Macaca mulatta: one gene and its partner. The protein of the gene in region 1 purifies or fractionates together with the protein of each later gene. This does not show direct contact. Links are inferred from orthologs where the notes say so. Each region holds a gene or a part of one and is shown in the gene's direction. Other genes may lie near its edges.

The links. The genes of interacting proteins can lie anywhere in the genome.
Region 2: the proteins of SLC7A1 (region 1) and STX4 purify together in Homo sapiens (co-immunoprecipitation; 3 studies listed by BioGRID and IntAct, counting the BioPlex papers as one, with this or other methods). This does not show direct contact. The link is inferred for Macaca mulatta from reciprocal best matches to the Homo sapiens genes SLC7A1 and STX4.

The regions. Positions count from the first base shown.
Region 1 is NC_133422.1:9,415,043-9,420,271, reverse strand, and holds part of SLC7A1 (high affinity cationic amino acid transporter 1), read left to right. Parts: intron 1-56; coding exon 57-196; intron 197-3,001; coding exon 3,002-3,104; coding exon of another isoform or gene 3,105-3,108; intron 3,109-4,758; coding exon 4,759-4,976; intron 4,977-5,229. UniProt on the Homo sapiens protein: High-affinity, low capacity permease involved in the transport of the cationic amino acids (arginine, lysine and ornithine) in non-hepatic tissues.
Region 2 is NC_133425.1:29,669,846-29,675,520, forward strand, and holds the start of STX4 (syntaxin-4), read left to right. Parts: upstream 1-1,993; 5' UTR 1,994-2,262; coding exon 2,263-2,292; intron 2,293-2,469; coding exon 2,470-2,571; intron 2,572-2,660; coding exon of another isoform or gene 2,661-2,682; coding exon 2,683-2,782; intron 2,783-2,918; coding exon 2,919-2,993; intron 2,994-3,429; coding exon 3,430-3,500; intron 3,501-5,675. Other genes in the region: uncharacterized protein LOC144337996, read right to left, coding at 1,603-1,722, 1,832-1,988. UniProt on the Homo sapiens protein: Plasma membrane t-SNARE that mediates docking of transport vesicles. Necessary for the translocation of SLC2A4 from intracellular vesicles to the plasma membrane.

The DNA.
Region 1 (5,229 bases):
TGCCTTTATCCCTTATGAGCCAGGTTCACTCACGTGGTTTGCCTCTCCCCATCTAGCCTTCTAGGTTCCATGTTTCCCATGCCTCGGGTTATCTATGCCATGGCTGAGGATGGACTGCTATTTAAATTCTTGGCTAAGGTCAATGATAGGACCAAAACACCAATAATCGCCACACTAGCCTCGGGTGCCATTGCTGGTGAGTACCAGAACTCATTTCACATGTCAATATTTTACCAGTGGAGTCATGACTCCCTAAGGAGGTATCTTGCCTTGTTCTGGTCTGTGAGTAATCTCACCTGGTCTTTTTAACTCCTGGGTTTCATACTTGGAGCCTGGTTCATTGCAAGCTGACTGACCTTTTGACAAAAGACAGAGGATGGGAGAGAATTTTCGAACAGCTTGCACTCTGGTTTTCATCTCATTGGGCAGAGCTTAGAACACACAGTATTCCCCCAAAACCCTTTCCTCCCATTTCTGGACATTTCCCTGAGTAGTCAAGGGCAGGCTGACACCTTCCTGCATGACACAGGCCAAGGGAGACCTCGCCAGCACCTGGAAATTCGGCATCCATTTCTGAATTCTCTGGAAAATAAGTGTCCCTTATGAAATGTGCTGCCTCTTCCCCAGAGAGTATCAAGGGTGCTGCTGATGAAGCCGCTTGCCGCTAAGTTTATACGTAACAGCAGACCCAGTAGAGCTTCATCTTGTCAGATGAGCATCATTGCTGAGAGGATCATTTTGATGGATGACTAATCTGAGCCATGTGGGTGTTCCAGGGCCGTAGATGATGGAAAGGAGAACCCAAAAGGAAGCTCGCGTGCACACTGTACCTGTGGTTTTATGTCTCCTTCTTTCGCGGTTGCATTTCATAGCCCGGAAAGGCAGACGCCAGCCCACTGTACAGATGTAGAAGTGGAGGCCCAGGGAGGTGAAGTGAGGATGTGCACCCAGGACGGTGGAGCGGCCTTGTGATTCCAGGATTGTTTTCATGCCAAAGTAGCCAAGCTCCTTCCAGGGTCTGAGCAGAGCAGTGGGTCTTTTTGGCAAATTGGGGCATGTGATATCAGTCATAGTTTCTAACACAGCAACTTGTCAAGTAGCCATTGGTAAGGCCCTTGACCTTCTTAAATGAATGAATTATTCACTAAGTTTTATTAGCATTCATGCCTTTAGCAAACTGTGCTTAGTTTTGTGGATTAATATTATGTAATAAAACAAACCTATTTTTAAATTATGAAACTTTTTTTTTATGTGATTCTATGTTCTTGAGAGTGACTACAGTGGTCAGATTGAGAGGCACTATACACCAGAATGTGACCAGTATATTTACAGGATTAAGGATTTGGAAATAGTCATTGTTTTCTCAGTCTTTACCCGGAATTTGATCATGTTCAGGACTGGCCTTAATTTCCTTCCCCTGCTGATAGAGGGAGATCAAATCATGCTCTTTGAAGGGACTGTGAAGTACGTGCCATTCACAAAATCCAGGATTTACCCTTTTCATTTGGTGGGAGTGGTAAATAAGTATTTGATTTTCTAAAATCACCTCACATGGAAGAAATTAGTCTCAAGTTTCCCATGAGTAGGAGCATCGGCATCTGTGGCATGCACAGTTGGGTGCTGTTCTGATTATCCAAAAGGCCCTCCCTCATTGCTCTTTAATTTTATGTTTTATTCTCCATTTAAATTTGTTTTAGTTGCAGTGATCTAGAGGGGCTTGAGAGATATTTGTGGAAAAATAATGGTTTTGTGTTTATATTTTAGCTTGTGTTGATTGCATGTGTTTTGAAAATATCCCAAAGCAGATCTAGCCAAGTTGTTTTTTAATGAGTACTTGACATACACACCCACATGCATAGACATGCATACTCTCCCAAAACTCACAAAAGATGTTCAAATAAGGGTGCAGGTTTTCATTCATTTTAAAGGCCAGGGGCACGGTGATAGGGGCTGATACTATATTGTTTAAGAACAGGTCTTCAGATTTCTTCCATGTGAGTGACTTCACATGTGAAGAACTCTGCTCTCCTGCTCGCCTGCCTGGGTTAGGACCCCCTGTGATTCCCCCCAGAGCACCAGACCTGCCCTTCTTTATCATCCAGCACTGTTGCCCACTGATGCCTGTGTCTTGGTGGGGTACACTCGGAAGGCTGGGGCCTGTGGTCTGCCCTGTTCAATAGTGAGTGCCTAGAACCCAGTGATGGGCACATTCTCACCAGAGCTGGATGGATGGAAGATGGGTAGATGGATACATGCTGAATGGATGGACGGGTGGATGGGATGGATGAATGGATGGATGGATAGATGGATGGATGAGATGGATGGAAGATGGGTAGATGGATAGATGCTGAATGGATGGACGGGTGGATGGGATGGATGGATGGATAGATAGATGGATGAGATGGATGGAAGATGGGTAGATGGATAGATGCTGAATGGATGGACGGGTGGATGGGATGGATGAATGGATGGATGGATAGATAGATGGATGGAAGATGGGCAGATGGATGAGATGGATTGATGGATGGTGAGTGGATGAATGAAAGATGGGTGGATAGATGGATTGATGGAGAATGGATGGATCGATGGGATGGATGCACATGAGTCTGTGAATCAGCATGGTCTAGAGGAAGACACACAGGACTCAGAGTCATAAGAACCTAGTTCACATCCTTATACCTATGCTTATGAGCTGTGTGATCTTAGATAAGTCTCCTAACCTGTGTGAATGTTAACATCTGTAATGTAAGGATGGCTTACAAAGTTGCCATTAAAATCACAAGAGCGAAGGTATTCTCTATACAAATGTTAATGATTATTACTGTCTATTGACTGTGTCTGTGATTTAATCACAAGCTTAAAGGGAAGCTTGACTTTAATCAAGCTTAAAGTGGGAGTAAAAGCAGCCCCCTTCGCTGCCCTGGATGGTAGGTGGTGGTGGTCCTGGTTGTCTGTGCATGCAGATAGCCATCCACAGATCCTGGTGTCTGTCTCTTCCCAGCTGTGATGGCCTTCCTCTTTGACCTGAAGGACTTGGTGGACCTCATGTCCATTGGCACTCTCCTGGCTTACTCGTTGGTGGCTGCCTGTGTGTTGGTCTTACGGTATGTATGGCTTTTTGGGGTTTCATGACAGAATGCAGATGCACCTGGTAGCCTTTTCACAGTTCCGCTATGGTTTATGTGATGAATGAAACTTTTAGGTTGGTGATGGCTCCAATGGGAGCTGCCAAGGAGAGGGGAGGACCTGGGTTGAGAGCCCAGTTAGGAGGACGTCCTTGGCAAGAGTTGGGTGGCCCCTCACCCCCCTCTATCGTGTGCCCTCATTTTTATGGCTAGATGTTGGGTGGATAGAAATAGATTCTCGGCCCAACTATTAGGCCAGGATCCTGGGATCAGAATTTTTGAAGACTGATTGCAACTTGGTTCAGATTCTTGGGACAGAGAGGATTGAGGGCTGCCCTGGTAGGAGTTAGGGAAACCCAAGGCCTGTGAAACCCAGGTCAGCGTAATGCTTCTGAAGCTTCGTTGCACTCTGGCTGGAGGAATGAATCCCATTACGTGGCATGGGGTGCCCTAGGTTGATGTTCAGGGACACTGTGGAGTCGGCTTGTTGTGGCCTGGTTGGGGCCAGGCAAGCCTCTCGCAGTCGCAGTAAAGCTGCTTTGGGCCTGGGCTTGGTGCCTCGGTGTTCTCACCTGCCCCAGCGCCCACTCCCAAAGCGCATCCCTGGGCAGCTGGCATCCTGAGAACCGGTGCTCATGGAGACACTCAGCACTGGTCTGCCCTCAAGAGCCTGCTCCTTTCTTTTCAGGGATTCCCACCTGCCAGGCCATTGATTGCATCTCCAAGGTGCTCAGCAGCCGATGCACATAAAGCCCGAGCTGAGCCTCAGCAGAAGCTCTGTAGAATCAGCTAAGACTATTGGGGACCCCTTATTCTTCCCAACAGGCCCAACGCTAGAAGATTCTCTGAGGTCTCCCACTTTCTTAATTGACTGAGTGGTGCTGCACAAGCGAATCCGTACAAAAATGGTTAATATCTTTATACTCCCTCTTAGAATTGATCATATGCAAAATAATTCATACAGCACTCTGCTTTTCAAAGCTGGTGGAAAAGATGTGCACTCTGTTCACTTTGGGTGGGAAGATAAGGCACCTCATTCAGAACGGATGCTCCACTGGCAGGTAACTCATGTCTTGGAAATCATGCTGCAGGCTCGGCCCTCCGACCAGCCGCACAGAATTACTTACTCCGAGGTACTTGGAGTTTTAAAATAAATTGATCCAATTAAGGCACGCAAACAGAATTTCTCAAATCCATCAGCCTGCAGCCGCATTTCTCTGGCTCTCTGTGCCAAATAGGATCCTGGCGTTACTGCTTTCTATTTCTCTCCTTCCTTTTTGCTCCCTACAGCAGTAATTTTGTGGGAAGTGGCCTAATATCTTTAGCATCTGAGGGCCACTGCCACTTCTCAGAGCAAGAGAGATCTCTCAGGGTATTCCTCTGGGCTGCTCATGGTGGAGGTCATGTCACCCCGAAGCAGAGACCGTGGGGGATGTTCCCCAGAAGCAACAGTGGGAGGTGGTGGTCCCGGTCTCTCCTCGTCTGTCTACAACGCAGCATCTGACTATATCCTTCCCATTTTATACCTTGTGTCCCGGGCAGCTAACTTTGGAGGCTTATTGAGAACTTGAGTTGGTGCATGTCCTTTTGCTTGAAGCGGATGATGGTGGTCACACAATACCTTTCTTTCCAGGTATCAGCCAGAGCAACCTAACCTGGTATACCAGATGGCCAGTACTTCTGACGAGTTAGATCAAGCAGACCAAAATGAGCTGGCCAGCAGCAATGATTCCCAGCTGGGCTTTTTACCAGAGGCAGAGCTGTTCTCTCTGAAAACCATACTCTCGCCCAAAAACATGGAGCCTTCCAAAATCTCCGGGCTCATTGTGAACATTTCAACCAGCCTCATAGGTAAGAGCTAGCCCTTCCCTGGGGCCTTGCTTGTTGGCATTGCATGGTGTCTAGGCAGTGGAGCTAGAGTTGGGGGAAGGTGCCAGAGAAGATGAGCATCTGTCTCGCTCCTAGACTGGGACATAGTTGCTCTGTGCTAACTGAAGTTGATGCCTTCGGAAATGGAGCCTCTCTCGCCACAAGTTGAGGGGAGAGCAGCGGATGCCAGTGGGAAATTGAGAAATGGTTGAGTTGCAGCTCGCTCTGTCTCTTC
Region 2 (5,675 bases), on another chromosome or scaffold:
GTTTTGTGTTTTGTTTTGTTTTGTTTTTTTGAGATGGAGTCTTACTCTGTCGCCTAGGCTGGAGTGCAATGGCGTGATCTCAGCTCACTGCAACCTCCGCCTCCCGGGTTCAAGCAATCCTCCTGTCTGAACCTCCCAAGTAGCTGAGATTACAGGCACCTGCCATCATGCCTGGCTAATTTTTGTACGTTTGTAGAGATGGGGTTTCGCCATGTTGGCCAGGCTGGTCTCCAACTCCTGGCCTCAGGTGATCTGCCTGCCTCTGCCTCCCAAAGTGCTGGGATTGCAGGCATAGGCCACCGCACCCTGCTAGAGCTGGGTTTTAACAGGAAGAGAAGAGCCAAAAATCCTCACATAGAATCAGACAGCACTTGACAGTTTCCAACCTCATCATCACTGAAGTTTAGAGCAGCCCATACCCATAAAGATGATCTCCCCATCCCCCCAAGTTACCCACTGTGCAGAGGGAGATCGACACTTAAGAGACAGGAAGCAACTTCCAGAAGTCCATAGCAACCCAGTCCCAGGAATCTAGGTTTCCTGACCAGGGCATAGCAGAAAGGGTCCATTCCTTTCCTTGCTTGTACCTTCACAGAAGCTTCCTGGACAGAGCCCTGGGGTCCAGGAGACCCGTTATTCATTCCCAGCTATGCTGAGACTTACTAAATGACCTTGGGGACTCCTTCTAGAGAATTTAAGTTCCACGAGTGCAGGAATTTTTATCTATTAGTCCTTGATGTATCTCCAGCCCTAGAACAGTGTTTGGCCCATAGTATGTGCCCAAAAATATCCATTAAATGAATGTTCTGTGCATGGTGGTGCATGCCTGTAATCCCAGCAGTTTGGGAGGCTGAGGCAGGAGGATTGCTTGAGCCCAGGAGTTAGAGACCAGCTTGGACAACATAGTGAGACCCCATCTTGTAAAAATTTTTAAAAATAAAAAATGAGTGAATATCTCGATAGCCAGGATTAGAGAAGTGTCACAGTCAGAAAGACTGAAGCCTAAAGAAGGCCAAGGAACCAGGGTCTTCATCCTCAGATACATGAAAGGCTAAGATTCTGTCCACAAGTATTTATAGAGGGCCCGTAATGTGCTTGGTACTGAGCTAGGAACTCCCCAGATTCAGTTAAGAACAAAGTCATTACCTGCCTCAGATGCAAGGCAGGGTCTGGGGGGTGTGAGTGGCAGGGAAGGCAGCGTGCAGAGACACTTTTCTTAGCCTGAGCTGCCCTGACATGGTCTGACAGCCCACAAGGTGGTGAGTGAAGCCGGGCTGTAGTGTTCAAGGAGGGCGCCGGCTGGCTGCCCACCTGTCAGAGGCTGCGCCAGGAGGATGCGGAAGAAGAGGTTTCTGCCTTGGCTGAGGTCAATTTCCACCCCTAGATTCCCTGCCCACACAACCCTGCAATTTTCTGACGCTGACGACTCGGATCCTATTATTTCCCGATTTTCAAGGTCCCATGATGCTGACAGCCCCAAATGCTAAGTCGTCAGTCCGCCCACGCCCCTGGACCCGAAAGCAATAAAGGCGAAGTCAGCAAGGGTCCTACCACCCACTGCCTCGAAAGGCCTCTGGGAGTGGTGGGCGCGCCCCTCCCCACCTCGCGGGGGCCGTGTGGGCGTCGTTCGGTGGTCGGAGTGCCGGGGACGTCGTGATGAAAACAGCGTCCCAGAGACGGCGCTGACCGAGCCGGGACACGTGACAGTCACAGCGTCACATTCTGCGGTCCACGAGTTTGGGACCGGGTTGGTCACGTGACGCGGTGGGGGCACCATGGGGTGATGTGAGATGCGGGTGCCTCAGATTACGTACAAATGACGTATTCCTACCCCTTTTGGCAACCAGATTTCCGTTGGAAGATGCAACGGTTCCGGTGACGGTAGCCAGTTCTCGCGTCCACGCAGCTCCGCTTCCGCTCGGGGCGCAACAACTTCCGACTCCACCTTCCGCGCCTCGGGCGAGGAAGAGACGCGACCATATGCGCATGCCCCGAATTTATCACGGAGGGGCGGGGCTGAGGCTGCGGGAGCTGGAGGGGGGAAGAAAAGGGAATTCCAACCTGTGGAACCTTGGGGGGTCCCCGGGGTCGGCGCCTTCCCATTGACTGTGGGCGGTGCAAGGGACGGAGGCTCTGGTGGCTCGTGGGGGTGTTGGGGTCCACAGGGGGAGGGAGGGGAGTGTCAGAGTGTGAGTGGGGTACGGGTATTCCAAGTTTGCCGGCCTCCCGGTCTGACGCCGGGGAGGGAGAGCTCAGGCCGCCATGCGGGACAGGACCCACGAGCTGAGGCAGGTGAGACGCCAGGGCAGCGGGGATGGGGGCGCGCGGACGAACTGGAACGCAGGACTCCTGGTCTTCGGGGTAGGGAGGGGTGGCTGATGGCCAGGAAGGAAAGTCCCGGAAGCCTGTGGGTCCTGCGGGGTGACAGCCGCAGCGAAACAGTGGTGCCAATGACTCCGGGCCTGGCAGGGGGATGACAGCTCGGACGAAGAGGACAAGGAGCGAGTCGCGCTGGTGGTGCACCCGGGCACGGCACGGCTGGGGAGCCCGGACGAGGAGTTCTTCCAGAAGGTAAGGGGATGGAGTCTTGGCCTGGATTCGCGAGGGGGTAGGAGGACCCGAGGAGCAGCGTGGTCTGGAGTACCCCATATCTCTTTCAGCCCTCTCGGTCACCCTCCCCAGGTCCGGACAATTCGGCAGACTATTGTCAAGCTGGGGAATAAAGTCCAGGAGTTGGAGAAACAGCAGGTCACCATCCTGGCCACGCCCCTTCCTGAGGAGAGTGAGTGAAACCCCGGCTGCATAGCGCATGCTCCGCCCCAGGGATTGTGGGGGTTGTAGTTCCACGCAGGTGGTGGCCAGGGTGGTTTGTTGAGGTGGGGGCTGCTGTTTGGGAGTCGTGGCCTTCTCTTATTCAGGCATGAAGCAGGAGCTGCAGAACCTGCGCGACGAGATCAAACAGCTGGGGAGGGAGATCCGCCTGCAGCTGAAGGGTGAGCTACTGGGACCTCAGGCAGATCCTTCCCTCTGATCCTGCCCTGTTGTTGGTATATCTGGGGAGTGTGTGGCCCAGAGAAGCCAGTGATATATCCAGGTCACACAGCAGGCCTGGTTCTAGCATCTCTGTCTTCTGGCCTCCAGGCCATTGTACTCTCCACAGCACAAGGCAGTCTCTCAGGTTCTTTTATTTACAATGAAACCATTTACTTACACAGTTATCACTGCCCACTGGGCATTCTTTGGGCAGGGAGATGGGGTTTTGTTAGGTGGCCTCTGCATTCCTACGGGAACTCAAGTGATGTAATGCAAAGAAAAATAAACTTACTTTCTCCTCTTGGAGGCTCAGCCTTAGTCATTTTATGATAAATTATATTTCCCTAAAAATCCTATGGAGACAAGTACCCCCAATACCCCTGTGTCTTCCCACAGCCATAGAGCCCCAGAAGGAGGAAGCTGATGAGAACTATAACTCCATCAACACAAGAATGAGAAAAACCCAGGTGGGTTTTTTTTCTCAGAAATGACATTTCAGCAAATGTTTCATGAAGTATTAGATGACAGATGTATGAAGGAAGGGCCTGTAGATGTCATGGAGTCCAATTGGATGATTTTTCCAAGTGGGGAACCTGAGCTCAGAGAGAGAAAGAACTTGCTCAAGGTCAGGAAACCAGGTCTCCTGATGCTCAGTCCGGTTATAACACCCTGCTTTATTTTCTTCCATTCAATAAGAAGTTACTTATTGACCCCAGACAAGACCTAGGCTTGACTGTGGGACACGTTTTCTTTTCTTTTTGCCTCAGCCTCCTGAATAGCTGGGATTACAGGCGGACACCACCATGCCGAGTTAATTTTTGTATTTTTAGTAGAGACGGGGTTTCCCCATGTTGGCCAGGCTGGTCTCGAACTCCTGACCTCAGGTGACCCTCCTGCCTTGGCCTCCCAAAGTGCTGGAATTACAGGCGTGAGCCACTGCGCCCAGCTGGGACACGTGTTTTCTAGGAGTCAACATGAGGAGTTAGGGTTCAATAGGGGATAAAGACATTACTCACGTGGGATCTGGTGGCTAATGGCGCTGCCCAGGGAAGGAGAGTGAGAAGTCACAAATTGACTGGCAGGTTTGCTATCTGTGTGACAGGGACATCCTTAGTCCCACAGGTGGAATTCAAGAAGTCAGGAAGTGGAACTTCCCTGGGGCGACACTGAAGAGGAACTCCCCTGGTGTAATATCTTTTTTTTAAAAATTATTATTATTTTTTTGAGATGGAGTCTCTCTCTGTCGCCCAGGCTGGAGTACAGTGGCACAGTCTTGGCTGACTGCAACCTCCACCTCCTTCAAGCGATAATCCTCCCTCAGCCTCACAAGTAGCTGGGATTACAGGTGTACACCACCACACCTGGCTAGTTTTTTATATTTTTGGTAGAAATGAGGTTTCACCATGTTGGCCAGGCTGGTCTTGAACTCCTGACCTCAAGTCCTCAAGTGATCCACCTGCTTTGGCCTCCCAAAGTGCTATGATTACAGGCATGAGCCACCGTGCACGGCCCCTGGGGTGATATCTTAGTAAGGAGATTTGCAGTGATCTGACTGGCCCTCTTTGTGTCCCCAGTGAGGAGGATACCAAGAGGTCAGGGTTGGAGTAGTTGAGCCCAGGGCTCAGCAAAGACCCCAGATTGAAGATGAAACAGCTTGGGCATCTTGGAAGGGTGCAGCTGGAACCAGGAGAGCAGATGTATCTCTGGAAAAGGAACTCCAAGGAATGAGCATATTTAAGGTCTCAGGAGAAGGGGCAAGGCAGAGCAGATGCCCCAGAGCCAGTGTTTCTGGGGAAGCCTCTGGTGGTGATTGGCATGAGTGGTCGAGGGCCCATGTGGGCCTGTTGCACCTGTTTCGCCCAGGCAGCATGTTCATCTCTAGGCATAGGAACTGTGGTGTAGGCAGCAAGGTTGGCATTCAGCAAGCATTCAGCAGTTACATATTGGGTGCCTACTGTGTGCCAGACCTTTTTGGAACTGTTTAGGGTACAGCAGTGAATCAATGATCCCTATCCTCATGGAACTTCCCTTCTGGTGTAGACAATCACCATAATAAATAAGTGAATTATTTAGAACATAATAAGCATTAAGGAAAAAAGAGCAGCGGAAGAGGGACTGAGCATGCTGGAGGAGGGTAGCGTTGCAGTTGAAAGCAAGTGGAGGAAGCTTCATTCAGAAGGTGACATCTGAACAAAAGACTTAAAGGTGTTTGCGGGGAATGGGCATTCTAGGTAGAATGAGAAGTGAATGCAAAGGTTTAAGCTGAGAGTGTGCTTTGTCTAGGGAGGGCTGTAAGGAGACCAATGTGGATGGGCAGAGGGAGGGAACAGTAAGAGGAAGCAAGATCAGAGAGGGCTGGCCGTGCACCTTGGCTCACACCTGTGATCCCAGCACTTTGGAGGCTGAGGTGGGAGGATTGGTTGAGCCCAGGCGTTTGAGACCAGCCTGGGCAACATTGCGAGACCCCATCTCTCTCTGTTTTTTTTTTTTTGAGACAAGGTCTCACTCTGTCACCCAGGCTGGAGTGCAGTGGTGCCATCTCTGCTCACTGCAGCCTCCGCCTCCTGAGTTCAAGCCATTCTCCTGCTTCAGCCTCCCAAGTAGCTGGGACTACAGGCACCCACCACTGCACCCAGTTAATT